Linked DNA regions of Notamacropus eugenii. The protein of the gene in region 3 interacts with the protein of the main gene of each other region in a biochemical or structural test. Links are inferred from orthologs where the notes say so. Each region holds a gene or a part of one and is shown on either strand. Other genes may lie near its edges.

Region 1 (8,297 bases), on a different chromosome or scaffold from region 3:
CTGCAGTCTTGAGACCACACATGATGGGTCTTTCAAAGGTCAAATTTCACAGAACAAATCCTTTTGTTAAAGGATTTGTTGTTCAGTGAATTCTGAATTCAGTCAAAGGGCCACACTTGAGAACTTAAAGGGCCACATGTGGCCTTAAGGCCGCAGGTTCCCCAGCCCTGCCTATTATACCAAGTTGCCTATCTCAGTAAGGCTTATATCGTAACATTTTCCATTTAAAGACATCTGTCTGTAATGCTCTCTGGGACAAAGAGAAATGGGGGCCAACACTAAAGATCCACACATGATATGGGTGCTCTCTGCACCAAAGGGACCTCTCATCCCTTCCTATTATATAGATGGTTTCATGAACATCTATGGCCAAACAAATATCAAACCATTAACTAGTAATGACTCCCTGCAATGTTGGATCAGGTGAGGACTCAAGCCTTTATAGCTTGTGAGACCTCCCTGGGCTTGAGGAAAGGATCTGGAGGGGGACTTCAGCCTCCAAACAATCCACAACACTCAGTTGTTGGTGTAGCTTACAACATTTTCTCCTAAACAACAAGTTTCTTTTCTTTCTTTTCTCTTTCTTCTCCTTCTGTCCTTCCTTCTATTTCTTCTTCTACTAGTTCTACAACAACACCCACCACCTACTACTGCAGGTACTACAACAACTATTACTACGTCTGCTACGACAACAGCACACAGAGAGTTTAAAGTAAACGTTGAGTACCTAATCGTGGTCTTTTGGCTTGGACTTCATCAGTGGCTGGAGCGCTGAGAAAAAAAAACAACCAGAAAAGCACCATCATTACCTTGTCAGGCATAAACGCTCCATTATGTACAAATATACCAAATTATTCCATCATTCCTCCACTCCCACTTTATTATTGGTTGGGTTCCAATAAATGTTCTGAGACAGAACAACATATTATCAATCATTTCGGTTCATACACAGGAAATTGCATTGTAATTTAGACATTTGAGCCAGTTAAAGGTTTTCAACAACACTGAAAATAATCACATGCAACAGAAAATTAACTAAACAACCAGATCTTTTCACTTGGAAAACAGCTTATATTGAAAAAAGCTCATTTATGTTGAAAATCTCAGCACTTCAAATACTCTAACTATTTATGGAACAGTGCTCACCAAACAGGGGTTTACAGTCTCACCCATTTGAGCAGCATGTCAGTGCCTCAACACCAGGTACTTCGGGGATTTTAGGAGGGCAATATTAATCCTCTCCCTGTGGCTTTTGAAGACATAAGTGAGGCCCACAAATAACATCAGGAATGCCCTGACTCCCCACCTACAAACCTCCTTTTCCCCCCTCAGCAATCTTAAGATTTCGTCAATAAAAATACAGGGACTTTGGACACAGAACAAACATCCCACTCTGTCCATGGGCTTTAGGTTAATCCATACTCAACGAAGGCCTGCTAAACACAAAGCCAGGCAAGGAGATGGTGGAGATCAAACATTAAATAACGCTGTCTGGCCCATCATGGGGGTCACCATCAGGAGGGTCCTAACTTGTTTTGTGCGCCAGAAGCCTCTGGCAGCAGGCAAGGGAAGCCTATGGAATCCTCTTCAGAATATTGTTTTTAAATGTACAAAATAAACCACAGAGGCTTACAAAGGACACCAACCACACTGACCCGCAGCCATCCAAACAACAACGCTGATGACAATAACGTTACCAGCACCGCCTATTTGGTTCACAGACCCCACGTGAAGAACCTCTACTCTACAGACGCAGGTGGTATAAGACAAATGACTACAAAACGTCTCATGGTAAGTGCATAAACATAGCAGAAGCCGGACAGAAGGGGAAAGAGAAATGGAACGTGAAGCAGCACACGCTTGGGCTCCCTAAATCTAAAATGAAACGGTGCCTTCTACATGAGTTCGTTTCCACTCCAGCCCTCATTTCCCCAGACAGGACCCCTACTAGTTCCCCTCTAGCTAGACAAGCCCCTGCGAGGACAATAAGCTCATTCTGAGCAGAGGCTGAGGGTTAAGTTCCAAAGAGCCGACGGGAAGTCACAAGGATCTCAGTTGTGACATTTGTAACAACGTGGCCTTGGAGAAGTCCCTAACTTCTTAAGAGCCTCAGTCTCCTCAAAAGTGAAACACGGTACAAAATACTCACAGCGTCCACCTCACAAAATAACAAAGAGAAACAACTAAGCGTACTGGCCGGGGCTACGGTGAGGAGCCAATGGCTCTGGAGGGGTTTACAAGCCAACTCTTTTGGGGTTTCCACTAAGATACCCGGTTTCTATGTCTGACCCCCCTCTCCCTGGGTACTCTGTATCTGCAGATCCGCTCAAGCACCTAACCCCTAAGAATGCCAAAGGCAGAGGTGGCCGGGATACCAAAGGTTTACCGCGCACCGAACGAGGGCCGAGTGCGGTGCAAGCCCTGCCCGCGTATCCACTGCAGGATCGGCATGTCCGCAAGGCCCGCCCCCGTTCCCGCCTCGCGCCGGGCAGCACCGGACCCCGGCCTGGCTTCATCGAGCCCGACGCCCCGTTTACAAGAGGAGGAAGCGGCCGCGCCGCGGCCCCGCAGCCCATCGAGCCAGGCCTCTCCCGATGGAAGCACAAATGGAGGCCGGAGCCCCGCCCTCAGGCCGCCCTAGGCAGCCGCCTCCCGGTGGATCGCGGCCCCGCCCGTCCTCCTCACCTGTCCGAGAGACGCCTCTTGAGCTGGGGCTGCGCTGCGGGCCCGGGGCGATCTTGTGGCCTCCGGAAGATGGAGTGGAGGACACTAATCAGCCATCTGTACATACCAGGCCGGCGCGGCAACCGCGAAGGCCGACACGGGCCTAGAGCCGGCGCCCGGAACCGCAGCCGCAGCCGCCACTGCCACGGGCCCCGCCGCAGCTCCCGCAGGCCCCGCAGCCCCTGCAGCCCCCGCAGCCGCCGCCGCCGCCGCCGCTGCCGACCAGGCCGCCGCCGCCGCAGCCTCAGCCTCAGCCTCAGACGCGAGCAGCCCCACCACGGCAACGTCGCAGACTTGTGACACCGCCGCGGCGCCCACCGGAAGCGCGTCCCCACGGCGTGGGCGCCGGTCATTAACGTCACTACCCCCTTCCGCCAATCGCGCAGCCGCCGCCCGGGTGCACTGGCGCATGCGCAGAGGCCCCCGTCCCGCCCCGCCCCAGCTCGACGGAGACCCTCCGAACGCGGCTTTGCCCAGCAGCTCAGGCCCGGACGGGCCAAGCTGGTTCGGGGGCGGAGCTATCGCCGCCCTTCCGCCAATCCTGCGCCGCGAGGCACGGAACGCGACACCGCTCCCCACGCCACACCCTAACGCTCTCTTTCGGGAGAACGGAGCCCGAGGGCCCTGGCGGGCGCGGGCGTGGGCCACGGTTAGGCCCGGGCGGGCTGTGCACGGAGCCGTTGGCCGTAAGACCCGTGACCGTTCGTGCCCGGCTCCCCTCGCAGAGGCGTCTGGGGCGGGCTGGGCCTGCGCATGCGCCATTGCCTATGCGGCCTCCCCTAGAGTGATCCTCTGCTGAAATACCTCCAGGGAGGGGTCTCACCACCGCACCGAGGAGATGCCTGCCCCCCCCCCCTCCGTGGGCACTTCAGAGGTCACCTGACCCAGGATGGATGAATGAAGCTTCATCCCTGCAGCAGATCCCCCAGAGTGGCCCCCAGGCCCCGCTGGAACCCTTGGGGGGGAGGGGGCTCCCTGCCCATCCCCCCGAGGCCACCTGCACAGGCCTCCCTGACACCCCCTTACGGAGCTCCTCCAGCCCCCGCCGCAGGGATCGCCGTTGTCGGGAGTCTACACATGGTGACTTTAAGAGCGATGCGGGGTTTGTAACTTTTTTTTTAGATAGTGGTCTATCCCATCACTACCACTGTTCCTCTCCAAATTTTTTTAAATAAAAATAAGACTGATACAAAATATCTATTTGTCAGAAGTCAGATTCTGCTTGTAGAGGCCAATTACATTAAGTAACTACTAGGAGCTAGGCACTGTTCTAAGTGAAGGAGATACAAAGAAAGGCAAAAGACAGTCCTTGCCCCCAGGGAGCTCACAGGCTGGTGGGAGAGACCCCATGCAAACAACCAAGTGCAAATGGTCAGGATAAACTGGAGCTAATCGGAGGGAACGCTAGCGATTGAAAATTAAAATTAGTCAATTAAGTTAAATATTTAAATGTTTTAAGTTATTTGATTTGTTTTCCATTTTCTACAACCACTTCCCTATGTCTTAGGTTTTCCCCCTTCTTCCCCCCATCTTTCCCCACTCCGTCCCACACCAGATGGTGTGCAGTCTTATTTAGGTTCTACACGTACATTCTTATTAAATACATTTTCACCTTAGTCATGTTGCATAGAAGAATTAAAATGAATGGGAGAAATCTTAAAACAAAACATAATACAAGAGAAAATGGTCTGCTTCATTCTGCGATCCAATTCCATAGTTCTTTCTCTGGATGTGGAAGGCATTTTGCCTCAAGAGACCACTGGGAATTTTCTAGGTCCTTGCATTGCTGTGCAGGGCTAAGTCCACCAGGAAAATTCCTCACACGCTGTGGTCGTTGCTGTGCACAAAGTTCTCCTGGTTCTGCTCCTTTCACTCAGCATCAGATCATATAAGTCTTTCCAGGCCTCTCTGAAGTCTTCCTGTTCATCATTTTTATAGCACAGTAGTATTCCATTACATTCATATACCACAATTTACTCAGCCATTCTCCAGTGGATGGGTATCCCCTTGATTTCCAATTTTTGGCCACCACAAAGAGAGCTGCTATAAATGTTTTTGTACATGTGGGACCCTTTCCCATTTCTATGATCTCTTGGGGATACAGTCCTAGAGACAATATTGCTGTGTCAAAGAGTATGCACATTTTTGTAGCCCTTTGGGCTTAATTCCAAATTGCTCTCCAGAGTGGTTGGATCAGCTCATGTCTCCACCAACAATGAATGTGTCCCAGTTCTCCCACATCTTCTCCAACATTTATCCTCTTCCTGTTTTGTCATGTTAGCCAATCTGATAAGTGTGATGCGGTACCTCAGAGTTGTTTTGATTTGTGTCTCTCTAATTATGAGTGATTTAGAGCATTTTTCATATGACTATAGATAGCTTTAATTTCTTCCTCTGAAAACTGCCTGTTCATATCCTTTGACCATTTATCATTTGGGGAATAAATATTTAAATTTCAATAAAATTTAAGCAAAAAGTATGAGGGGAGAAGGGCAAAACTAATAAATTCAGCAAGCTGAATTCTAGCTGCAACCCTAATGCATTACTTTGTTAGTGTTTACTAGACACTAACAAATATTGCTATTTTTTCTGATGCAAAAAAAAACAACACATAAGGGACAAAAAACTAGAAAGCTCACGCACTAATCAATTCCTCAGTCATTTGTCCTATCTTTTGATTTCAGCCTCTATCCTTACCAAGCTAGTGCTCACGGTGCCTTACAGATACATATATTGTTGATACTGGGTTTTCAACACATAGATTTAGAACCCGAAGGTAGGAATTGTCTAGTCCAACCCTCTCATCTTCAGAATAAGACCCAGAGAGATAAATGAATTTACTCGAGGTTCAAGTGCCCAGTGGCTTCATTTATGTTCACTTGGTTGGAGTCCTTCAGTCTTTTGACTCTCCTAATCTTATCCCATTTTTCAAGACCAGGCCAAAATCCTATCTCTAACCTTCCTTGACTAGTCCAGCCAGCATTGACCTTTCCTTTTGATGTATACTCAGATACTCACTACTACTGCTAATAATAATTTGTTATTGTTATTTAATTGTGACCCTATCTGGGGTTTTCTTGGCAAAGATACTAGAGTTGTTTTCTATTTCCTTCAGCTCATTTTACAGAAGAGAAAACTGAGGCAAACAGGGTTAAGTGACTTGCCCAAGATCAGCTCGTGTCTGAGGTCAGATTTGAACTCCAGTCTTCGGACTCCAGGCCCAGTGCTCTGATTCACTGTGCCACCTAGCTGCCCTAATAATACTAATGACATTATTTCCAGTAGATTACCAGCTTTTTGAGGGCCTTTGCCTCTTTTTGTATCCCCAGTATTTAGCTCAATGCCTAATAGTAGACACTGACTGACTAATTCAATCTACCACTTTAAAGTATGCAATTATTCTTTGTTCCTTGTTGGTTACATGTTACAACCTACTTGCACCATCACACACCTCTCAGTTTCTCTCTGTGTTCTCATCATTCTCATCTTTAGTTTTTCAGAGACAGTGGCCTCTGTTTCAAGGCTCTCTACCATGGAACAACACAAGTAAAATCTTGGTATTGAAAAGATGAGTCTTTACTATAATGAGAAATTTAGGTTCTGTAAAAGAGCTCTGCAATTTCTTGAAAGCAATCCAGCCCATTCACTTCCTCCTTTTCAGCTCTGGGCCCAGTTCACCATCCCCTTGAAAGACCTACCCCAGATAGACACACTATCCAACAGGGTCTGTAGGGTTCTCTTCAGATGCATGTTGAAGTTTGAGCAATAGATATCATTCATCTAGTTGGTCTTTCCTATGTGAATGGCTGGACCAAACATCTTCCAGTGATTACAGCTCTCTTGCAGATTCCACAGCATCTTGGGACCTGATGCAATCAGCATAATGTCATCTATAAACAGGAGAGTTTGGAGGACTGGACCTCACCATCAGTGGAGAATCCTTCTTTACCCTGGATTATGCACTGAATCCCCTCAATTATGGTGACAAATATCTTCATCCAGTATACATCTCCCTGTCTGATGTCTGGTTAGATGGTTAATAATAGAGGCTCATTGAACAGGGTTATTTCTGTTGTTAGATCTTCCAAAGAATCCGTGCTGACTGGTGATTAGCAACAAATTTATGTTACATGAACTATGCCCTCATTATAGTAAGGTGATTCTTTTTTAAACATTTTATTTTTTATTCCGAAGTTAAATAGGAGCATTTCCAAACACACAGAACAAAAAAAAATTAGTCAGATCTTTCATTTCTAACTTCACCAAGTCAGTCAATAAGTTAATATTTATTAAGTGCCTACTATGTGCCAGGCATTGTGCTAAGCTCTGGCAATACAAAGGCAAAGACAGTCCTTTCTCTGAAGGAGCTCATAATCTAACGCAACGACACACAAATATCTTTGTATAGAAGAGCTATATACAGGGTACATGGAAAATCAACAGGAGAGAGGCATTAGAATAGAGAGGAATAAGGAAATTCTTTCTGTAGAAGGTGATATCTTAACTGGGATTCAAAGAAAGTCAGGAGTGAGGAGATAGGCTTCATTATTTGACCCAGCAGTGACCACTTTCTCTTTGACCTATTGACTGGCTTCTATTTCTGCACTTGAGAATGTATCTTGTTAGAAGTCAGTTTTCTGTAGTTGTTTGTTTGGCTCAGTTTTCATATCTGGGTTTTTTCCCATTCCCCTTAGGTCAATGGGAGAGTTTTTGCTTTATTTTGTTAGAAGGGTGCTCGCATGTGTGTGCGTGTGTGTGTGTGTGTGTGTGTGTGAGTGTTTTAAATGGCTCAAATACCAGTGTCCTTGAACCTGTCTATTTACACTTTGAATAAACAGTGTTGTCTAACTTCTCAAAAAAAAAAATTTGTCAAGTAGGAAGGAGAGCATTCCATGCACGGGGGACAGTCAGTGAAAATTCCCATTGTTGGGGGATGTGCTGTATCATTCAAGGAACAACAAGGAGGCCAACAAGGAGGGGAGAAGCAATGTTGGTGTTCACCCTTTGTTTCCAGAGAGGATCAATGACCTCATAGGGTGATGCCTTGACTTGCACATGAACTGGATTTAAGTGAGGCAGATTTGCACAGTCATTACCCCCTGTCTTCCAGAGTCATTGAAATCCAGTGGCAAGATGAAAGTCAACATGAGTGGCAATAGCCTGGGATGCAGTGAAAGATCTTGGCATCTTTGATGTCTGACCAAGCTCTAAGTGCTCCACAGCACCTGCTTCAGCCACCTGCATGGCCACTGGAACAAATCCTCCTCATCTGCCCATCCCCCAACTCACTGACAGGTTTGAGGCCTGTCAATTGCCTGTCTGCCAAGGTGGTTTTATTGGCATCCCATGGATTTCATGAATTATCCTTTGGCCCCTACTCATGCTACAGCTTCCTGGATTCACAGATGAGAATTGGGTGCCAGGTGGACACCAAAGGTGATAAGTAGCCCTGAAAATGGCTCAGCAAGACTTCATACCAGAGGTGTGTCAGGGAGGGCTTGTGATGGAGCATAACTGTGCTATAAGAAATGATGGGCAGGCCAATTTTTAGAAAAATATGGAAAGACTTGAAA
Region 2 (7,755 bases), on a different chromosome or scaffold from region 3:
TAATGTCTAATGATTTCAGTGGTTTTGTACATCAAAATTAGTTATATTTGATAGCAATAAAAACGTGAAGAGTGAAGTCATCATTCTAATTACTGTTCTACTAATGTTACACATTTTATTACTGTGTAAGGAAGAAGCAATATTATTTTACTTGTCATATATTAGAGGGGAAAAATGTAATGTTGACATCCATGTTAAAGTGATTTTTCAGGATCATTTCATTTAATCCTTTTATAGCACAGATTGTGTGCCAATATCAAAAATCCAAACGACTCAGAATACAGTATAAATCAGAAAAAATGGTAACATTAATCAAGTGATGGATAGGATAATAACTTCATACTCCCTTCTTCACTCTCATCTTTCTTGTCAACAAATGTAAGTCCAGTCTTGACATATAAAATCACTGAAATCATTAGACATTATAATTTTTTTAAAAGAAAGCATGATGCACGTTATCAGACTTCTTAAAATGTATTTAACAATTGTGATTTTTTTTCCTCTCTAAAAAATACTACTATTTGTTATACGAAATGGTCCTCTGGGAGGGGAAGTAGGATATGAAACAGAAGACACCAATAAAACCTTATTTTTTTAAAAAACATGAAAGAAAACATGAGCCTTGGTCTTACCAAATCTTATAAGAGCTACCACCAAAGGGAATGTGTTATTTGCTGGGATTTTCCAGGATTTTGCAACAGAACATAAGTGTTATGGGTTTCAATAAGTTCTCCAAGACCATTTTCTCCTGATAATGTACTAGTGCAAATCCACCCACTATATACTGAAGAACAGCAGGCTAATACTCAGAGCCATTACTTCTACCTAGGGTGTGAGGGGGTGCAGAAAAGTAACACTAGAACAAATTCCCTCTCTCAGTCCCTGAAACACATTAAGGACTTCTTCTTTCCCCCCTAGAAACCACAGCCTAAAAAATTAACAATCGTATTATATCACAGACTTTTCAGTCAAAAAGCAAGGTAATGAGTTTATTTTTAGCTGAACTTGGGGGAAAGGGAACTAGGATAAGAACAATCAACTATCTTAAAAATGCAAAAGCAACAAGAGTTGTACACATGTACAAAGAACATGTCGTATATCAAACACTCATGAGCAACATTCTCTGGAATGCAAATTCAAAATTCTTATTTCCATCCTCCACATCACTGCCATATTAATATCCTAAAGGTCAGGTCTGGCCATGTCACTCTTCTAACCAAGAAACTTTAGTGACTCCCCACTACCTTTAGGATAAAACACAAACTCCTCTGTTTGCCATTTAAAGACCTTTACAATCTGGCTCTAGCCTACTTTTCCAAGCTAATCACATTATTTTCCCTTTTATTCATTCTACATTCTAGCAAAACAGACCTAGATTTCATCTCCTACCTCTGTGTCTTTATACATGCTACCCCTCATGCCTGAAAGGCCCTCTCTCCTGTGTCTCTCAGAACCTGCTAGCTCCTTCAGTTCATTTCTCCCCAGGCTGCAAATCTAGACTCCAACTTGCTTCCAAGTCAGGTACCTTCCTTTGCACCACTCCCTTTTTCAGCTTCCTTTTATGTATTGTCCTTACCCATCAGGATGCGGTTTTTTTTAGTCTACTCCTAGAAGGGACTGTCTTTCTTTTTGCTTGAATCTCTACTCCCAGTGCTTAGCACATTGCCTGACACATAATAAGCATTTTATAAATGCTTACTGACTGACTCCTTTCAGTGTCACCTCCTTCAAGGTCACCTTATTCCCCCCTCATTTTATATTTACCCTATATTTACTTATCTGTACACATACTAAATACCCCTAATAGCAGGCCCTCCTTGAGATATGAGACTGTCTCACTTTTTGAAAGACTTTGTATCCCCAGTACCTAGAATATAGATAGTAGATGTGTAATAAATTGTACTGATCAATTTGGATCCATATATGTTAACCACCAGACCATTTACTATTAAAGGAAAAAGAGAGATACCTTCTGTCCACAGAGAATTTTTCAACTAAAGAACTCCAAGTGGTTGTGTAACAGCATCCTCAGCCTGAGGATGGGCAAACTGAAACAGAAAGGAGAATAAATCAGCAAGAGCAGCAGTAGGGTGGGTACTCCTCTCCTTCCCTGGGCCTCAGCTACCTCATTTGTAAAGGGATCACGACCAAGAGTTCTTAACCTTTATTTGTCATAGACCCCCTTTGGCAGTCTGGTGAACCCTACAGAAACCCTTATCAGAATAAGGTTTTATTGTCTACTTTCATAATTTCAGTTAGGTTAGTGAAACCCAAGGTGTCATTTTTTTCCCCATTCAAATTCACGGATTCCCTGAAATCTGTCCTTGGACCTCTTCAGGGTTGGTGAACCCCAAGTTTGGGGATCCTTGGTCTGACGTGTGGTCTCTTCCAGCTCTAAATCCTACGAACATCTAATCCTCAGTGCTCTTCCCACCAGCCCCTATCTCCCCTTGTCCCACCGGAGGGAGTTAAGCAGTACTTCGAGCCCATCTACAAGTCTCTGGGTCCCGAAGGTGGACGCTGGCTCCATGGCAGCCCGGTGCCTCAGTTTACCGCCCCCTCCCCTAAGGGGGAGGAGCTCCTATTTACGACAGTCCCCGGGAGGGGGGGCACCACCGCCCCAGGCACCGGACGAGCCGCGGCCGTTAGTCGGAGTTGAGGATCCCTCTCCGGCGGAGGCCGGGACCGGCAGGCCTCGCTGGGAGCGGCGTGAGTCCGCGGGGTCGGAGAGTGACGTCGGCGGGGCCGGCGAGGCCCAGGTAACGGGCCGGGACGGGGAGCACTGACTTGGCAGGCGGCGGGGCCGGGGGCGTCGGAGGAGTGAGGGGAAGGCGCCCGACGAGTCTTGCCTCCCCAACCCCGGCCCACAGGCGCCAGCGCCGCCCGCCATTCGCTCACCTGAACGGGTCCGACCGGGCTGAAGCCCGGCTCCCAATCCTGCGGCCCCCGACTCCGGAGACCAAAAGTCGTCGCCACCACAGCCGACTATTTATCTCGGGGAGACGCGCGGCCCCGCGCAACCGAACCCGATACCTGGGCCCGCCCCCGCCTGCCCCGCCTCCAAGCCGGAGAAAAGGAAGGGAGGGAGTGGTAGTGGGTGGGGAGAAGTGGCATGAGAGCCAATCGGAACCCGAACGGCGTTCCAGCGCGCGCCAGGATTGGTCCTTCTTGTGACGGCCTTTCCGCCAATGCCTGCTGGGCCAGCTCGGTACTAAGGGACTTTCCGCTCCGTCAAGCTCGGTGGAGCCAAAGTGGGGGTGGGGGAGGGCTAAGAGAGGAAGAGGCGAGAGGGGGCGGGGACGGGGAGAGTGGCGTAGCGCTCTCTGATTGACTGTCTGGCTGCAAGCCTACAGCCATGATTGGCTGTGTGAAAGGAGGGGGTGGAGCATTACCGGTCCCAGTCCCTCTGGGCCTCAGCTGTCAAAACGCTTTACTGAACTGGGTAGGGCAGGGTCCACGGTCCTTGGGAGCTAATAAGCTTTGGGAGAGGCCAGGGCTCACGCCCTAGCTTGAGCTGGGAGTCCGGACTCCTGGGAGGCAGCCCGGAGTCCCGAAAAACCACTCTGTCCTTAACCCTGAACCATCGAGTTTCCCAGTCCCTCTGAGCCCTGTGCCTCAGTTTCCCCTTCTGGAAGGGGCTTCCTATCCCAGCAGTCACCCACTAGTCCTTGGGAGGTGGGGTCCAATTTAGGGCACTGAGGAGGATAAGGTATTGTCACACATTTAATTCATCCTTCCTGGCCAACAGCCAGGGCTTATGGTTTAGTTAAGGATCTTTCAATTAGAAGAGACGTTTTTGATTCCCACGTGAGCTCAAAAATATTTAAGGAAGTGATTTTTTAACTTAGTAGTGAAGGCTCTCAGGACACTGGATTCTTGTTAATTAATTCTTTCTCTAACAAATTAAGTACCAATTATGAAAGAGGATGAATAATACTCAAAGGAGGGATGTGGGAGGGGAAAGGTCTTAATCATGACATAAATTCTCCCTGTGGAAAAATTCTCCCACTTACTCCTAAGGGTCTGTGGGATTCATCCTGAGAGGTAAAAGCACAAAGGGGTGTCACTGTGCCAATAACTAATTACTCTCAGAATGGCTATCATGTACTACAGTCCTCCCCAGTACGTCATCCGGGGCGCAGAAGGGATGCCATTGTGAGACCCACGCTGGAAGCTTTTCTAATTTCATATTATCTGTTGGCATTTGTGCCCCCTTGGCATAGACTTCAAGAACCTGCTGTCACAGACCTTCATGACCCCTTTAGGGATCAATTCAAGACTCATCTTTAAACAGTTACTCCAATTCCCAAAGTGCTCTGGTATTCTCTAATTGTTTTATTGATGATAGAATTTCCCTAACAAGATCAGCTCCTCTAACAGCAGAAGGCTGTATCTTCTACTTATGTATTCTTTTCACAGTGCCTAGCACAGAGCTAGGTATATGGTAGAGGATCTTCTGCTTTCATGAAACATGCTCCACAGCTACTCATTTTAATGTATATGACCATTCAGCTTCCCATTGCTATACCTGGGAAACTCAAGAATATTTAGCTATGCCATTTAATCCCAGCAAAGAATGAGTAACAGAAAACTATGGGCAATCCTCCAAGAGGAAATTGTTAAATGCATGATTCCAAATTTTTTGTCTATTCTCAGCTCCCTAAAAAGATGTAAGATCCCTGTGTCTTTTTTTTTTCCTGTGCAGAATCTATTGAATTTAAGAGACTGATACCTAATGATAACAATACTGAGAATCTTCATTTTCATTCAGAAAAGGCAAGAGAGGTTTTGGGGTTTATTTCTGGAATGAGAATCTGTGCCATTTTCATTTAACATTTGACAACCAGGATTTTGTGAATGAGAAAAGGTCTCATATGAGCTCTTTTTCCACAAGAATTTATAAGTATTAACAGAAACCTTTCTGGACTGTGTAAACCTCTCTTCATTTCCCACCTGGCTACACTCATTTTACACTTCTTTGACTTCCCTACTATGCCCCCCAGTAAACTCATTGGGAAATCTCATCATCTTGTCAGATACAAATCAACCTTGACACCCACATCTCACCAGTACCCACTGCCCTTCCATTGGAGGGGACACAGGAGAGAAATATCCTGACATCTCATTTCCTATCCAGCTGTACTCATGTTGGACTTCTTTGACTTCTCTGACTGCACTCATTTTGGATTTGATTTCTCTACCATTCCCATGCCCGGTACATTAACCCCCATTCAGCATTGTCTTCCCCTGTTAGATTAGGGAAGGAACTATCTTTTTCCTACTTGTATGCCCAGAACTTTAGCACAGTGTCAAGCATATAATAATTTCTTAATAATTATTGACTGATTGACTATTCTTTCCAAATGCCCACTCACCCTTAGGAGAACCCTCAACTCTACTCCTTCTTTGGAGGATATTAAAAGCAGTAACCACAGAGAGATTAATCCGCCCAATCTTGTACATAGGCCTTAGAATGCTTTTGGGGAATCCCTGCTGGACTTTGAAACTTGGTTTTCAGCTATGACTTTCCCATGCTGAATAATTTCAAATCAAGCTACTTTAGAAGATTACTCTTATCTATGAAGAATTAATGATTGCTGTAAAAAGTCCTGTGCTCCTCACACACACACACACACACACACACACGCACACACACACACACACACACACACTCCAATCTGCTAACTTCATTTATAGTTTATAATCTCATGTAGATTCTTGCCTCAAAGAGAACAAGGCTATAGAACAAAAACAAAAGCTTTGTCATCAAAAGGTTACAAAACAGGGTGGAGTCAAGATGGCAGAGTAAGAGGAAGTATTTTTGCTAGTTCATCCAGATACCTCCACAACCTTCTAGAAGAGGATCAAACTGAATTCCAGGCCACAAGGCCATTAAAAAAAAAAATTCCAGTGAGTCATTTTTCCAGCCCAGTGATGCTGAGGGAAACAAAGAGGTATGCAGATACTGAGGCCAAGGCTGGCCATGAGTGGGTCCTGGCCAATAGAAATTGATCAGTGATCAGTGGAACAGAGCAGGCATATGATATACAGAAGCAAATGAGCACAGTAATCTAGTGTTTCATAAACCTGAATGCCCAACATTGAAGCAAGAATTCATTATTCAACAGAAACTATTAGAAAAGCTGGAAATTAATCTGGCAGAAACTAGGCATAGACCAACCTCTCATACCATATCAAGATAAGCTGAAAATAGGTAGATAATTTAGACATAAAGGGTGACATGGTAAGCAAGTTAGTGGATCATGGAAGAAATTACCTGTCAAATCTATGGACAGGGTGATGCTTTGGTCATGTTAATGACCAAACAAGAGAAAGAAGTGGCAAAAGAGATCAATTTGATTACATAAAATTTAAAAGTTTTTCCACAAACCCAATCCAACTAAAATTAGAGGCAGGAAATTGGGGAGTGGGGGAAGGGGTGGGAAATATTTGCAGCAAATTTCTGTAAGACAGATACACACTAGCACACAGGAGGGCCACTAGCACAGGTTCATTTTTGATCTGGTCAGACATATAAAGACACTAAGAAAGCTTTGAAGGGGTTAATAATCTTACTTTATTCAGGTCTAGTCTCCTCACAAGGTTGCTGATAATGGGAGCACTAACTCCTACAGCATTCTCTAATCACCCTTCTCTCAGGGGCCAGCAAGAAGGGGGGCTGCTACCCCTATGTCTTGATGGGGTCAATTGAGACAGTCACAGCTTGTGCATTTCTCTAAATCTCCTCAAGCCTCAGTGGGGGCCAGTCAAGGCACACATACATCAATCCAGTTTGTGCATTCAACTCTAAGGGTTTCCCATTCACTGACCAGTGCCCACCTGCTTTATAGGGCAACAGACAAAGAAGGCATATTGCCAACAATAGCCTCACAAGTTTACATCACCTCATCCCTATATCTTACTACACAGTCGCAGTGGATGTTAATAATTTAAGTACAAATATTTATATCATTTACCATTATATAACTGTGCAAGTGTGATAGAGGTGTTTTTTGTTGTTGTTATTCTTAGTTCAATCTGTTTTTTAATTTTTTTAAATTAATTTATTTTGTTTTCAGTTTTCTACAATCACTTCCATATATCTTACATTTTTTCCCTCCCTCCCTCCTTCCTCCCTGAGACGGGGTGCAATCTTATATAGGTTCTACACATACATTCTTATTAAACACATTTTCACACTATTCATGTTGCATAAAAGAATTAAAATGAATGGGAGAAACCATGAAAACAAAACAAAACATAACACAAGAGAAAATGATCTGTTTCATTCTGCAATCCAGTTCCACAGTTCTTTCTCTGGATGGGGAAGGGATTTTGCCTTAAGAGTCCATTGGGAATTTTTTAGGTCCTTGCATTGCTGTGAAGGGCTAAGTCTATCAGAAACAGTCCTCCCAAGGTTGTTGCTGTGTACAAAGTTTTTCTGGTTGTTCTCCTTTCACTCAGTATCAGTTCATATAGATCCTTTCAGGTCTCTCTGAAGTCTTCCTGTTCATCATTTCTTATACCACAACTTGTTCAGTCATTCCCCAATTGATGGGCATCCCCTTGATTTCCAGTTCTTGACCAACACAAAGAGGGCTGCGATAAATATTTTTGTACATGTGGGACCCTTTCTCATTTTTATGATCTCTTTGGATACAGTCCTAGAAGCAGTATTGCTGGGTCAAAGGGTATGCACATTTTTGTAGCCCTTTGGGCATAGTTCCAAATTGCTCTCCAGAATGGTTGGATCAG
Region 3 (8,061 bases):
CTACAGACCACCCATGGCTCTGTGGGTCCTGCCACTGCTGCCAGCCCAGGAGTTGAACTGGTGTAACTGGTTTTACTGTAAAGTGAGAACTATCTTTTGGGGGCTCTTTATCCTAGTGCTTAGTGAATGATGCTTGACATTGAAAAAGCCCTTCCCAATCCCCAAGAAGCCCCTTATCAGCCCAGGTTGCCCTCTCTACCCTGATTTTGAGGGGAAAAACAAAAGGCTCTAGCCTGGGAAGCTAGAAACCTGCCTAACACTTGCCAGCCTCATTAGACATTTTTCTCCTTAACTCTAGTTGAGTCAAAGTGGCTGTCTTCCTGCTCCACTCTGCATCTTTCCATCCATGCCTTTGGATTCCCCAAGCCTTCTCTGCCTCTTAGAATCTCTCTACTTCCTTGAAGCCTCAGCCTAAACACCATCTTCTCCATGGAGACTTTCCTGGTCCCTACAACTGTTAGGATCCCCCCTTCATCTCTATACTTTCTTATATTCATTTGGTGTACACACACACACACACACACACACACACACACACACACACACACACACACACACAGAGTCTTCTCGGACCTAAATTCCCTGGAAGCAGGGACTGGTTCTCTCTTGCCCTTATATCCCCTATATGTCTGACATCCTATAGACTCTTAATAACTGCTTGGAGGACTGAAGCACTCCTGGGAGTGGAAAGTTGTGGGCATGGACTTGGAGAGATTTTGGGGGCTACACGGAGTACTTTCAATGGATTCCTTTGGGACCACAGAGGTTCCCATTGAAATAATATTATTTTACTTATATGAAATGGGTCAATAGATAGCAAGACCTTGGACTGACAAAGGTTGGGAAACAGTGACTTACAGGAACAGAGGTACTTGAAACCAAGAAGGGCATGGTGAAAGCCAGGGAAAGAGAAGGAAAGGCTTCTCTTTACTCTTGCCCTCTTCTGCCAACTCATTCCACTCTCTGCACACTCCATAAGCTACTAATGGCCCTCAGGAAGCACCACTTTGTCATTTCAGAGTGCAAAATCCCCAATGCCCTGGCCCGGCTGGAGGGACCCAGCATTGGTGAGGAAGGATTAGGGTTGGAAAGGGCTGAGTTTGAATTCCACCTCAGGCCTTTACCTTGGGGATCAGAGCTCTCAATCAGAAATGCCAGCATGGTTAGGAGGCCCATAGAAGCACTGAGAAAGGTAGAAAAGTGTTTGGCAAACCTTGTAGCACTCTGGAAATGCCAACGAGCATTACCAAACTTGAAGAACAAATGATCCTAGAGCAGGTCTGGGGTGATAAGTGCAAGTTTAAGCCCAAACCCTGAATTCTAAATGAAACTTGGTGAAGAGGACACTGGGGAACAGGGGCTTCTAACCCCTGGTACAGGGGTGGGGCTTTCCTTCCAAGTCTCCAATCAGTTAATTTAGAAGAGTATTCCTTTCAGCACCCCAGAAACAAACCAACAACCAACCCAAACCATGATGACATTCCTTTGAAGGACTTCAAACACCCCTGGGGTCACAGGGCTCAGTCAGAGGGAAATAGTGGGGTATTTAGTAACCCTTAAGGGGCCCCAAAAAAGCCCCTTATCAGTCTATTCAAACCAGGCCTGGAGAAGACTGAGCCAGGTTAGATGAAGAAATTACAAAGATAAGCAAGATAACCACTCAGTTGATAAGCAAGAATGACCCACGACCTTTCCGACACCATTTGCCCTCAAGAAAGTCTCACCAGCCTTAGGGAGTAGCCTTCCCTCCTTCCCCTATTACCAGCCTCTCCACAAGTTGTCCTCTACACCCTGATTTTGAGGGGAAAAACAAAAAGCTCTAGCCTGGGAAGCTGGAAACCTGCCTAACACTAACTTGCTCTTGACATCAGGGGGTAAAAAAATCACGTTAGTAATTTGGGTTTTATTTTCCTCATCTATAAAATGAGGGTGATAATCACTGCCCTGACGCCAGGACAAGAAATCAGGAGAAACAAGATAGTATGAAAATAATCTTCAACAGAGGGCCCAAAGAACAGAACAGAAGGAACTGGGCCTTTGGAGATACTGGGAGACCGAGGACTTATGCTGAGCAGAAGCTGTGAGGTGAGTGCGCAGGTAGGAACAGAGAATCTGGAGCCAGAAGTGGGGTGAGTCCCAGCTCCTTCATACTACAAACGAGGAAAGTTGAGGCCCAGAGTGACTCACCGAGGCTCCCATGATGATGAATATGTGTGTGTCTGACTGGTGGAAGGCATCACCCTGGTACAATTCTTCCCGGAGAATTCCACACACTTGGGTCCGGCTCAGTGCCACCTGCTCTGCCATGTTGTTTTCTAGAGGAATGAAAGGATTGTGAGGGAGCTCTGGCAAAGAGAGAGTTGGAAGGTCATTGCCCCTCCCCCTAAGAGGGACAAGTGAACTCCCCAGGCAGCCCAGATTTCAAGTGGTATCTCCAAGAAGCAATTACCAGTTCAGAGTTTAGGAGAAGGGATAAAAAACGTTAGGTTTCTGATGCCTTGAGGGTATCTGAGGAGGCTTCCAGCAGTCACATTTTGTACCTGTTAAGCCCATTTTAAATATCCTACGTTTGGTCAGGATACTCAATGGCTAAGTCTGGGGATCAAAGTGGTGTTCCCCCCCCCCCCCTTCTTTCCAAAGTGGATGTCTGGAGGATGAGTTCAAGCTGGAGCCTCTCATCTGGGATTCTAGTTCAAGGTGTTCATAGCTTGAGGGGCAGGATCACAGGTGGGGGTTAATGTCGACTAGAAAATCAGGACCTAAGCAGGAACATTATTAATTCACTGATCTTCCTTCTGCTTTGAAGATAATGGGTCCCAGTCTCAGGCAGAATGCTAATTAGCTCCTTTATCCTCTTGCTTTGAAGATGATAGGGGTGGGGGTGGGGGTGGGGGTGGTAGGGAGTAGGGGGCGGGGTGGGGGAGGGGCCTAGTTCTGACTCAGTCACTGTCTGTGACCCTGGACAAGTTTATTTCTCTTGGAGTCCAAAGTTGCTTCCCTTTTAAGGGAGCTAGACTGACTGATCTGTACATTTCCATCCAGCTTGTATATTTTTTGCCATATGACCAGTATAACCAAGCACAAAATATTATTTCTTCTTGGCCTTTTCTGATGTCTCTCCTATTTCTAAAACTGGCCTGTCCCAGTCCTCACAGTCACTACTTTGGAAAATCCTCAGGATGCAACATTATCTGGCATCTGCATCAGCAAGGCACTGGACTGTGGAAGAAGACTGTTGCAGGTGCGTGGTTGTTTTGTTTTTAAAAAGAAGTCTCAAGGGAGAACCTAGAGCAAAAAGACAACCTTCTCCGCAAGGGGTTATGCCACTACCACCAGGGTCCAAATCCAGCTAACTGCAGTTCAGCCAGACCCCTGCCACAGGTTCGATTGTTGCTACCTGTTGGGGCTTGTTTCAACTTCCCTAGGACCTCAGTGGGATCTGATCTCCCTCAGCGGATGGTTCCGAAGGGTTAGAGGTTCTCCCTGATAGGTAGGTAGGAGAAGCAGAGTATTTCCAGTAGTCAGTTTGATCACATGCCTAAGCTAAAACCCCTTAGGGGATATAGAGGAAACTTTCCTTTAGATCTAGGCCCCCAGAGACAATCTACAAGGGGCAAGAAAGCCAGGCCAGGGCTGAGATGGGAAAGAGTACAGTATCTTATCTGAACAGGAAGGTCATCAATCAATGCAGAAACAGCCTTCTGACCAGGGTTCGGAGGAAGGAGATGAGGGAGGATGCTTGGGTAAAGAGGATCAAAGAGCCTGGAGACTAAGTCGAAGGAGGGAACTGCAGAGGCTTAAGAGAAAGGCTATTAGGATGGAGAGCTCAGGACAGAGGCCAGGATGCAGGGCGGGGCTGAGGATGGAGGAGGTTGGGGTTGGGCAGGCCGGGGGCCTCCTCACCAGTCTTCGCCTCCGGATCCTGGGTCACTTGCTGATCCGGCAGAGGAAGGGAGACGACCGGGCCCGCTGCTGCGCTCGGGTTAATGCCTCGTCTGCCCGAGTGCAGTTCGGCTACACTCGCCCGACTCCCCATCTCCTCCCCCTGGCCCAGCCCCGTTGGCCCCTGACTCCGCCCCGGCCCTCCCTGCTCCCCCGGCTTTGGCTCCGATCCAGACCTGGGATTCCGCACCTCGCGCTTCAGGCGCAGGAGAGCCCGCCTCCTCAGCGACATCTCTCTCTCCCACCCCCACGTGGCCTCGCCCGGCTCGCCGCTTCCGCCTGCGACGTGGCCACGCCCCCCGAGCCGGCCATGGGCCCGCCCTTCTCAGATCACGCTCCCTGTTCTTCTCGCCAAGCCGAGGTCTCCCATCTCTAGCCGGAAGCCCCGCCCCTTTGCTTATTTTCCCCCCCCCCCCCCCCCCCTCAAGAACTCCGCCCCTCGTTCCTCTCACTCCTCCTAGTTTTCTGATACCGGCCTGGAGTGGGGAGGGGAACTGATAAAGTGCATAGTCAGGGGCACTTAAGGTGACAGAAGAGATCGTTCCGAAACTAGGAGGAGGAAGCAGATGCTCTAGAAGATAGCTTAGTGCCTAGGATTTCTTTCTAGACCTAAGTGGGCCCTGGCACGGGAAACACAGGGTAAATTTCCCCCCACCCCCGCCAAAGGCGTTATTGGTTCAGTCCTCGCTCCCTGGAGGTCGGAGACAGCCAGAGGAAGGGGCGGAGACAGTCTGAGGGACTCCGAAGCTTTCACTTTTGCACTTCCGGGTTGCCGCAGCCCTCCGGCACAATCCGGAAGTGGGTGTTGGGTGGGGAGGAGTCGCTGAGGAGTCCGGGCTTCGGAGCCGTCGGCTGGGACCCGAGCTGGCGGATTCTTGGGGGGGGCCTCCGTCGCTACCTTCGGTGTAGTTTTCGCGGCTGCGTCCGTGGCGTGTGGACTCAGGCTCGGCCCGGCCGGGCCTGGCGGCTCCCCGGGCCCCGGTGGGGCCGAAGCTGAAGCCTGAAGGCCCGAGTCTCCGGCCTCCGGGGTGAGTCGGACGCCCAGGCCCCGCCCCTTGGGCCCCGCCCCCGCCCATGGCGGCCCCGCCCCTTAGCCCCTTCCCGCCGCCTGTCCCTTCACTCTGCTCTGCCATGTTCAGCCTCTCCTGCCTCATCTGGGCCACCGCTGCCGTCCGAGGTTTTGGGGTTGGCCTCAGGGTAACTGACTCCCCATTGGCCCAATTTCTCTCCCCTTCCCCCCGTCGCCGCCGCCCCCGCCCAGTCATTCTTCGTAATTCTGGGAGAGGGGAGAATGTGAAGGAAAAGAGCAGGTTTTTTTTTGCCACCATCTTTCTAGACTTCTGATGGGATTCCCACTTAACGGTGTGAGTCCGGGCAAGTTCCTGAACCTCTGATGTTTCATCTGTAAAATGGGTATGACAATAATGGACGCTACCTCCTAAGTTTGTTTTGGGGATCAGATGCCACAACTTGTGGAAAACTATGTAATTGTGAGCTCATTAATGGTGATAATAACGGGATAAGGCTGTGGCACTAAGGGGGCACCCTTCTCTGGAGTCATCGAAGTGGCACTGCCATGCCATTGGACTTGGAGGGTCTGGAAAACCCGAGTTCAAGTATCGCCTTAGACACTGGCTAGTGTGTGACTCAGGCAAGTCACTTAACCTCCGTTTGCCGTAGTTTCTTCATCTGTCAAATGAGAATAATAGCACTTATCTCCTGGAGTTGTTGTGAAGATCAAACGGGATAATAATTGTAAAGGTGACTGACACATAGTAAGCACTATGTCAATTTTAGTTAGCTGCTAACTTTCCACTTCATCTTTTCAGACCAATGCAGGGTTAGAGCTGGAAAGGACCTTGCCCACTAGATCATAAGGTCCTTGAAGGCAGAAGACTGTCTTTTGCCTCTTTGTATCCTCAGGTTAGCATGGTTCCTGGCTCATTGGTATTCATTTATGTTCTGTTCTTTTTGGCCAGGATACCGGAATGGTTTGCCATTTCCTTCTCCAGTGGATTAAGACAAAAGTGACTTGCCTCTGTTTCCTCTTCTGTAAAATGAGCTGGAAAAGGAAATAGCAACCACTCCAGTATCTTTGCCAAGAAAACCCCAAGTAGGATCATGGAGAGTGGGACATGACTGAAAAACTACTGAACAACAACAGCTTCTTGGCTCCAGACCTAGCGCTCTATGCACTGAGCCACCTAGCTACTTCCACATACTCTGTATAGCTTGGCCCATAGTAGGTGATTAATAAATGTTTATTGATTAATTGATTGAAAATGATATAATTTGTAGTATAATTTAGGGATGCTTTGGACTCAATCTGCCTAAGTTTGCTCACAGAATTTCACAGTTGGAAGGAGCCTCAGGAGCCACCTAGTTCTGCCCCTGTCCAGTAGAAATCCTGTCTAATATAGCTGGTCATCCAACCTCAGCTTGAAGATCTCCAGTAAGGGGAAACCCACCATTTGGGACACTTAACACAGGACCAAGCACATAGGCATTTCATAAAGAAATACTTGTTAACTTCCTGGGGTAGCTCCAGCCATTAGGAAATTTTTCCTGACACTGAGCTTGCTTCTGCACTCTGGGACCAAATAGCCCCCATAGAATTTCTCTTCCTGAGCTCAGCTATCTTCCTTGCCCCTCAGGCTTTTTTCCTTGGGCTAAGCATTCCTAGTTCTTTCAGCCTGTGATGATATGATATGATGGGGAAACTCTAGGCCTTTTGCCATCCTGGTTGCTTTCCTTCTTAACAATGCTGTCCTTAAATAGGTACGCCAAATGCAATACTCCTTGTAGTGATTTGTACTTTTCATGCACATGCTGTCTTGTATCTAAGTCATTGGTAATAATAATCGCAGCTAACATTTTTAAAGTTTGCAAAGCACTTTAATACATATTATCTGATTTGATCCACACTACGATCCTTGGAGGCAGGTGCTGTTATTTCTATTTTACTATTGAGAAAACTGAGAGGTTGGAAAAGTGACATGCCTGGGATCACCCAGCTAAGGAATCCTCATAGAATTCCAACTCAGGTCTTTCTTTGCTCCAGATCCAGGTCTTTATGCCCTGCGCCACCTAGAGGCCTAAAATTCTGTTTAACAGCATAGACCAAACATGGTTCTGGCCCACTCTACTGCTGATAGCCTGCCAAGTTGGCATCAGATTCACTGAACTGAGTCTAGCTGTTGAACCAGTTCTAAATCTTTCTTCTTGTATTGTCATTTAATTCATGTAGCTCTGTCTTTTCCACAAGAATAGCAGGAGATACGTCTTAAAACTCTTTATTAAAACCTAGGTAAACTATGTAGTATCCTCCCAATCAGTCTCATAACTGTCAAAAAAAAGCCTTGATGCTGACTTTTGGTAGCCCCCCTTCCCCATGCAACATGTAGATGTTCACTAAGCCTCTCTTTAGCGATGTGGGAGAATTTCCCTGAGGATGGGAGTCAAGTTCACTGGTATGTGTTTTTGCATGTTTTGTTCTCTTACCTTTTTGGAAAATTGAGGCATTTGCCTTATTTCAACTATACAGTGCTTCTCCTCTTTTCTCTGCTCTTTTGTTTGTCCACATCTGCCTGTTTTTATGATTGATGTGGACCAGGTGATGACTTCATTGGGGGTAACTAGGTACGCTCCCTTTGACTTCCTAGTAACTCATTTTGTCACCATTATTTTCCGAGAGAACAGGAGCAAAGAATCTGGCAGCTCTGCCTTCTCCTCTTCTTTGCAGAGGCAGGGTAGGGCAGCAGCAGCGGCTCAGAGGGGGGAAAAAACCACACATTTACATTATCTATGTTTCATTGTATTTTTATTTATTTTGTTAAACACGTCCCAATTACATGTAAATCTGTTTTCCTGCTGGGAGTGGGAGTGTTGCAGGACCTACTGGGTTTGATGCCTCTGGTCTTCACTCCAAGCATGGGTCTTGAGTTTCCTCTGATAGAGCTAAAAAGGCCTTTTTGTCACCCCTTGTTTTCCTGATCAACCTGACTATGAGATTTGGCCATTGAGAGATTATTGGATTTTTGGAAAGAGCAGTTTCAATTGAGTTGATGTCACAAGCAGATGGCAAAGGATTGAGAAGTGGAAGCAGAGGCATAGTTTGGA
Region 4 (7,265 bases), about 13 Mb from region 3:
CGGCTGGGAGAGAGATAGAATGATAGTTTAAAGGGATAGTAAGATTAAGTAAAAGGTTATTTTTTAATAATAAATTTTTTTTTCGATGAGCAAAACCCTACCTCTCCTTCCCTTCTTCCCCTCCCCAACGAAAAAGAAGGAAAAATAAAATCCTTGTGACAAATTTGCATAGTGAAACAAAACAAATCTCTGTGTTGGCTATGTCCAAAAAAATCTGTCTCACCCTGTCCCCTAAGTCCGTCACCTGTGTGTCTGGAACTGGGTAACATGCTATATCACCTATCCTCTGGAATTGTGTGGTTTGGTCGTACTGACCAGGGTTCTGGAGTCATTCACAGCAGTTTGCCTTTACAATTCAATTGTTACTAAGTGAAGGGTTTGGAGATTTTGGTTTGGGTTTTTTTGTTTGTTTGTTTTTAAGAAAGGGGATCATCTAGGCATATTTCATAGGGAAGGAACCAGTGGATAAGGAGAATTCAAAAATGAAGGCATGACCAAAAGGGCCATCTCTGAGGAGAAGGGGAATGTAATGGAATCCAGGGGATAAGCAGAAAGGGGACAGTGTGTTGAGTGTGGGGATGTGTTCTCCCTTGTTACACACATGCATTACATATAAAAGCACACAGTCTTTTCAAGAGAAAATGAACAGAAACATGTCAGACCCCATGTGGGTGCAGTGAGGTATTTTGCCATAAGGTTAGCCTCTGCTGCCATTAGAAAGGAAAGAGGTACTGAGAGCTGGAAGAGAAAGAAGTAGTTAGAGCCTAAAAGAAACGCATCTTTAACACCTTCTCTTTGCTATTCCTGAGAGTGAGCAAAGCTTTGCAGCTTTGTCAACAAGCACCAGGTAGTATAGTGTAGTGGATGGGGGGGGGGGTAAGAAGGTGTCAAGAAAACCAGGTTTCAAGACCAAATGTGTCACTGGAGGGCAAGTCTCAGCCTCTCAGTGTCCCCAGCAGCCCCCTAACACCAGCAATGGCTGAGCAGGTGCCTGTCACTGCCCTCATCACTGCTCCCAAACTGACTTTCTCACACATGCTCCATCTCCTATTGTAATCCCTGGCTTTCCTCAAGACTGGGTTCAAGTGAGGCCTTCCCCTCTGAGATCACCTGCCATCTGCCCCATATGTACCTCAGTATGTGTGTTTTGTGTGCCCCATTAGAATATACACTTCTGGAAAACGAGGACTGTCCATGGTGTTTCTTCACATCCTCAGCTTATCACAGGGTCTGGCACAGAGTAATCACTTAAATGCTTGCTGATTCATTGATAAGTGTTTTTTATACCAATGACATTGCAAGCCTGCCATCCCAAACGTTTGAGGTTCTGTCCCTAGAACTGGGCATAACATAGCTCAAAGCCCCATATTCTCTGCCCTCCAGGAGCTTTGCCATTCTAATGGAGCTGCGTCTGGAGGAGTTTCTGTTCTGCTACCTCACAGTGCTTGGTGCTTTTAGATTTGCCAAGCATTTTACTGACATCATCTCATTTGAATGGCACAATGATCCTGGGAGGTAAGTGCTATGATTATCCCTTTTTTACAGATTCAGAAACTGAGGCTCAGCAAGGAGGGAGAGTTTGGGGTCTTTGCCTTCACCTCCTCTATTTGCTTTGGTCCTCCTCCTTCTGTAAGGGCCTAGTAGTCAGTCCCTGGGCCCCGCCCCAGCCCCCCCCCCCCTTGTCCTCTTTTCCATTATCTCCTCAGTAATTTCCTGTTCCTCCTACTCCCCTAGCCCTTTTACAATTAATTCAACCACCTTAGGTTTTCCCCCTCCCACCCTACTGTCCTTCCTGCCGGAAAGATCAACTTTGGCCCACTGAGTGAACCTGCTGGGCGATTTAAGGGGTTGGGGCCACTTTAATGGGTCCCACTATTTACTTTTATGGGCCAAGGTGCTAGGTGCCCTTCCTAGTCACCTTTCTTTTACCTAACACACAGGGAATGGTTTCTTGACCTGGGTGCTGCCTGCCCCTACCCTCCCCGACTCTAGCTTGTGCTGTGGTTGTTTGACCTAGTTGTCAGCTGAACCACACTGGTAAGCTGCTTCTCCCCCTTGCTGGAGCAGGCAATGGGTAGCCTCAGCCTGACCCTAATCCTGAGATTGCCAATTCTGACCCCCTTCCCAAACTCATTCTAGTAGGTCCTTTTGGCCCTTCTTCACCTAGCTTTTCCCTCCCTTGTGACTTGCTCTGGATCCAAAAGGGTTGGAGGGGAGAGGAGACCACACCCCAAAATGGTGGGACCCTGTCCCCTAGGAGCTGATGAACAGCACAGACCATGAGGCTTTGAGGCTGAAGTGAAGTGGATATCTTTCTGGAAGAGTCTATAAGAGGAGAGGATGGGGGACAGGGTGGGTAGCTAGGAACCAGGTGAGAATGACTGTTTATGTGGGGACAAAGACTGAATGGCGTAGCCAAAGCAGAGGATACACCCTCTCCATTTACAAATGGGCAAATTAGAGCTGAATTGACCAAGGTCACATGGCTAGTAAGAGCCAGAGCTAGGTCACATCTAGATTTTCTGACTCCAGGTCCAACATTCAGCACAGGTTAAGGATGGAAACGTACATTTGGACCAGATAGTGGAGAGCCTTGAGTTGCCACTGAAGTTAGATGACTTGAATATTTTTATTTTTTTGAAAGTTAGGATTAAATGTTCTCCCTCTCGCCTTACCCCAGCATAAAATGCTTTTGGAATCCAGTAAATTGTTTCCCCTGTTGACCGAAAGATTTCTGAGAGAAATGGAGGGGGGAAAGGAATTCTCTCACTTGTCTCTAACAGCAGCCCCCTCCCTACAACATACCCAACAGGGCCTGGATCCTAGTGGATTAGGGAATGTCACTTGATGGGGGCAGATACCAAGCTCCTCTACCCTCAGGCTAAGCCCTTAGGGCTGATGGGATGGTGAGAGATCCCCTTACAATTCCAGGCCTTCTCTCACCTTAGATTTGGGGTCTCCCAAACTTCCCTATCTCACTTGTTTTACAAATGAAAGAAACAAAGACAGGGGAAATAAAACACCAGGTGGAATTTTTGAACCTGGACCCTTTGACTTTAAAAAGTCTGTGCTCTTTTTACTGAACATCTCAAGGCTTCAGACCCATTCATACAGAGATAACAATGTACATCGTCTCATATTCAATGCATGGTAGTGATTGGCCTCTGCTACCTGTGGCCAGGTCCTGTGTGGTCCCAGCATCCTACATCAGCAGAGTTGGGAGCACATAGTTCCAAAATGTCATAAATATAAAAGGCACAGGAAACAGCTCCAGGTGTTCTTAAATTGGAGTCTATGAGTTAACTAGGTGAGTTTATTTTTTTTTTAATATACTGATGATTGCATTTCAGTATAATCAGGTTCCTTTGTAATTCCTATGGATTTTATTTTATGCAATTTAAGAATAGGATTCTAAGAAGGGGTCTATGTTTAAGAGTCTGTGATCTAACCTAATCCTCTTATTTTTAAAGAATGATGCAAAGCTCCCCCCTCCCACTGCCTCTCCATTGAATAAAAAAAATAAAAAACATCATAAATATGTGTGTTCCAGTAGAAGTAATTCCCACATTGGCCATGCCCCGAAATGCTGCTCTGCGTTTCAAGATCATCACCTCTCTGGCGGGTGGGTGACTGATGCCAACTCTCTCATTTTACAGAAACAGAACTGAGGCCAGAGAGGCAAGGGACTTGCCCAAGACCACACAGCAAGTTAGTCGCAGAGCCAGACCCTAGAGGCCAACTCTGGCTAGTTCACTTTCCACTGGCCCATGCAATCGTGCCCTCCTCCTGGCGGCATTAGATGGCAAGCAGGATTCCCCTAGGCTGACCCGCCTCAGCCATTGGCCGGGATGCCTGAGGCCGGAAGGCGGCTGGAAGACTTCCAACCTTTCCGGGCTCCAAAGGAGGGGGAAGAGAGGGAAGGGGGAGGAGTGGAGGAAGAGAAAAAGGGCAGGCATTTTCCCCAGGCCACGCCCAGCAGACGTCCCCACCGTTCGCCCCGCCCCCCAGCCTCGCCCGACGTGGCGGCCCCAGAGGAAGGCGGGAGCGAGAGGGGGCAGCCTTTTCCTCCTCCTCTCCTCATCCCCGCCCCCGCCAGCATCAGGACGTTTAAAGGGATCCATTTAAAGGGGAAGTGACTCATTTTTCATAGGCTCGCCTGGCCCGGCCTGGTTCTGGAGCCCCGGGGCTCGCTCGCTTGTTGGCCAGCCTTCGCCTTCGTCTTGGCCTTGGCCTTGGCCTCGGCGTCGGCGGGCTAGGAGGCGCCGGCCGCGCGGGAGGATCATGGCCGAGGGGGCGGGCCCGAGGAGATCTGGGGATTCCGTTTCCCAGCGTTTCGTATACGAGGTGCCGGCCTGGATCATGTGTCGCTTCTACCAAGTGATGGATTCCCTGGAGTCGACCGACTGGTACAAGTTCGGTGAGGAGGCGGGGGAAGGGGGCATGGCCAGGGAGTCGCGCTGGGGCCGCGGGCCAGCCCGAAGGAGAGGGGAAGTGGCCCCGGGCGGGAAGCTGGGGCCCCCCTCCCCCAGCCCAGCCCTGGGCACCGGGATAGGAAAGGGCCCGAAGGCTGAGAATGGCCCGTGCGCTCCGGGGAACCCCTTCCATCTGCTTCCGCCCCTGGTCGTCAACCTTGGGGCTGCCGCTCCCCCCCGTTAGCCACCTTCCTTTCTGTCCCAGGCCACCCGTGCCCTCTGTGTGATCGGCGTACCAGGGAGACGAGATAGGGAGAATCATGAGACACCTCAAGAGCGTAGGATAGAGGGTTGACCCCACTGTCTCTCCTGACACTACCCCCACTCCAGATGCAGGCCCTCTTTCCCTCACTCCTGGACTATTGTAATAACTGCTGGGGAGGCAGGGGAGTAGAGGGGCAAGGGGATCTGCCTGCCTCAAGCCTGTCCCCACCTCAGTCCACCATCCATTCAGGCACCAAAGTGATTTTCCTATAAAGTTCAGGTCTTATTATGTCACACACACACACACACATTTCCACCCCCCACTCCCTGAAATAAACTCCAGGGGCTCCCAATTGTCCCCAGCAACAAATACAAAATGAGGAAACTGAGTCTGAGAGGCATTAAGTGACTTGCCTAAGGTCTTACAACTACTAAGTGTGTGAATTCCATCAGGTCTTCCAGACCCCAAGTCCAGCACCCTATCCAATACTCCATCATTTTTCTTAGAGATCATCTAATCTAAGCCTCTCACCTGACAGCGGGGGAAACTGAGACCTAGAGAGGTAACCCAGAAGGGGCCACTTTCCCAGAGGGACAGGTAGGAAAGCAATTCAAGCTCAGGACCTCTAGAGATTGGCTGCCCAGAGGCTACCACTTTCTTGTTGGTAAATTCATGAACCCTAAACTTAATAACTGTAGGTCCTTGCAGAAAAAGGAAAGCTTCCCTTTGCCCTCCCCCATCTATTCCCCCACTCTAAACTAGGACCGTGCAAGAGGGTTTGTATAGTCCAAAAGGACAATATCAGGCTCTTCTCTTGCCCCCACCCCAACACCTTGCCACCAAGAGTGAGGTCAAGAGGAAAAAGGGCCAATATTCAATGTGAGGAGAGTAAAGATAGCCAGAAACTGAGAGGGAGATGGCAAGAAGGCAGAAAAGAACCTACTGGGGAAGCAATCAGGCCAAGGAAGCCACTTTGGCCTATTCTCCCTCCCACCAACCAATTTGTTCCCAGAAGCTTTTCAAATTCTTTCTTGCAGGTGATTTGGGGCTATGGGAACAAATGGGATTGAGAACTGAAAGAGACTAGTGATTATTTAGTCCAGCTCCCTCATTTTTCAATGAGGAAACTGAGGCTCAGAAAAGGTGAAGTGACTTGCCCGTGGTCACACAGTGAAGTTAGTGGCAGAGCCAGTATTAGAACTCCAGTCCTGTGACTCAAAACTCAGGGTTCCTTGTCCATGGGCAGATGCAAGGTGTGAGTGACTTAGGACAGGGCCAGCACTGGCTTCATGCCACAGCAGGGATTGTGGTCAGAGCGAGGGCTGGGGAAGGCCTGGTGGGATGTCACCAAAGCCAACAGCCAAGCCCCAACCTGCTTCTGTCCTTGACAAGATGGCCCAAGGACAGCTTTGACTAGACTGTGTGGAGGTGACCCGTTTTCTTGCTTGTCAGCATCCCTCATTGTTCAGGACCAGACAGAACTACGGCTGGGGGAGCGTTTTCATGATCGAACAGCCAGGATCATGTGGCCTTGGATTAACAAAAACGCACGGGTTGCTGACCTCCTTCATATCCTCACTCACCTACAACTGCTTCGAGCCCGAGACATCATCACCAGTTGTGAGCCTTCCCTTCAAACCCTAATCCCCCAATCTCCCCACATACATATACCCAACCCCACGTCTACTTGTAAGTGTCATCTGTCAGTGCCCAAACAAAACCCCTCCCTTCCTTCAAGTCCCCAGCTATCCCCTAGAGCTCCCCCTGTCCTAGGGGAACTTGAGGAAGAATAGTTGGATTGGGGAGGCTTCAGCAACAAAGAAGGCTGAGTTTCAATTCAAAGAACTAACCCCAGTCCTGGGCCCTAAAGTCCAAGGGACTTTCCCCCTGCCTCCCACACCCCAACCAGGCCCCAGCTGGGCTCCTAGAAATAGCATCCACCCCCCGGAGAGAGGATTTCCCTCACCCCACCCTTGTAAAGGGAGGCAGGTCTGTGTCTTTCCCCTTGGCCCCAAGAAGGTGATGGAGTGCAGGAGGAAAGCATGTTATCTCCCCCACATACCCCATATCATTCCCTGCTATCATTCTTGCTTTTTTAACAGTATCTTTGTGTCTTTTCCTTCCTTCCCTATACTTTTAGGGAATCCTGAACCCCCATCATTGCCCCCTGCTGCCTCATTAATGTGCACACCCACCCCTCCATGGCCCCCTCCTCACCCAAAGCCCACTAGCGTCCATAAGGAAGAGGGAGTCAGACCTCCCAAGGTGCCACAGTCTGCCTCGACCTTCCTTTCCCCAGGTAATGGGGCACTGTATTTGGGGAGGGGGAATCCAGAGTTTCTTGAAGGAAAGGGGTGAAACATTGACCCCCCCTTAATACCTCCTGGGCCAGCTGTCGTGGACAGGTGGGGAGGGGTCTCAAATCATGAGCTTAGGGTGAAGCCTCCTTCTGAAAAAGGAAAGGAGGGGTCCTTTCGGAGCCTTCCCTCCCTCTCAGATAACAGGCCCTAGTATGTCCTGGGCCAGCTGTGTTCCTAGAAAGCTGTATGTCCTTCAGATTTCTGTAAATTGGATTCTCTTTGAGGTGA

What was found.
Region 1: the proteins of IKBKG (region 3) and SENP2 form a complex in vitro, tested with the Homo sapiens proteins (2 studies listed by BioGRID and IntAct, with this or other methods). The link is inferred for Notamacropus eugenii from reciprocal best matches to the Homo sapiens genes IKBKG and SENP2.
Region 2: the proteins of IKBKG (region 3) and CYLD form a complex in vitro, tested with the Homo sapiens proteins (3 studies listed by BioGRID, with this or other methods). The link is inferred for Notamacropus eugenii from reciprocal best matches to the Homo sapiens genes IKBKG and CYLD.
Region 4: the proteins of IKBKG (region 3) and IRAK1 form a complex in vitro, tested with the Homo sapiens proteins (3 studies listed by BioGRID). The link is inferred for Notamacropus eugenii from reciprocal best matches to the Homo sapiens genes IKBKG and IRAK1.

What each region holds. Positions count from the first base shown.
Region 1 is NC_092873.1:55,939,747-55,948,043, forward strand, and holds the start of SENP2 (sentrin-specific protease 2), read right to left. Parts: upstream 3,111-8,297; 5' UTR 3,078-3,110; coding exon 2,686-3,077; intron 772-2,685; coding exon 728-771; intron 1-727. UniProt on the Homo sapiens protein: Protease that catalyzes two essential functions in the SUMO pathway.
Region 2 is NC_092872.1:465,962,678-465,970,432, reverse strand, and holds the start of CYLD (ubiquitin carboxyl-terminal hydrolase CYLD), read right to left. Parts: upstream 3,057-7,755; 5' UTR 2,899-3,056; intron 2,049-2,898; 5' UTR 1,970-2,048; intron 1-1,969. UniProt on the Homo sapiens protein: Deubiquitinase that specifically cleaves 'Lys-63'- and linear 'Met-1'-linked polyubiquitin chains and is involved in NF-kappa-B activation and TNF-alpha-induced necroptosis.
Region 3 is NC_092879.1:10,232,824-10,240,884, forward strand, and holds the start of IKBKG (NF-kappa-B essential modulator), read left to right. Parts: upstream 1-4,708; 5' UTR 4,709-4,970; intron 4,971-8,061. Other genes in the region: G6PD (glucose-6-phosphate 1-dehydrogenase), read right to left, coding at 2,188-2,315, 3,904-4,174. UniProt on the Homo sapiens protein: Regulatory subunit of the IKK core complex which phosphorylates inhibitors of NF-kappa-B thus leading to the dissociation of the inhibitor/NF-kappa-B complex and ultimately the degradation of the inhibitor.
Region 4 is NC_092879.1:22,992,520-22,999,784, reverse strand, and holds the start of IRAK1 (interleukin-1 receptor-associated kinase 1), read left to right. Parts: upstream 1-4,137; 5' UTR 4,138-4,281; coding exon 4,282-4,417; intron 4,418-6,129; coding exon 6,130-6,297; intron 6,298-6,817; coding exon 6,818-6,976; intron 6,977-7,265.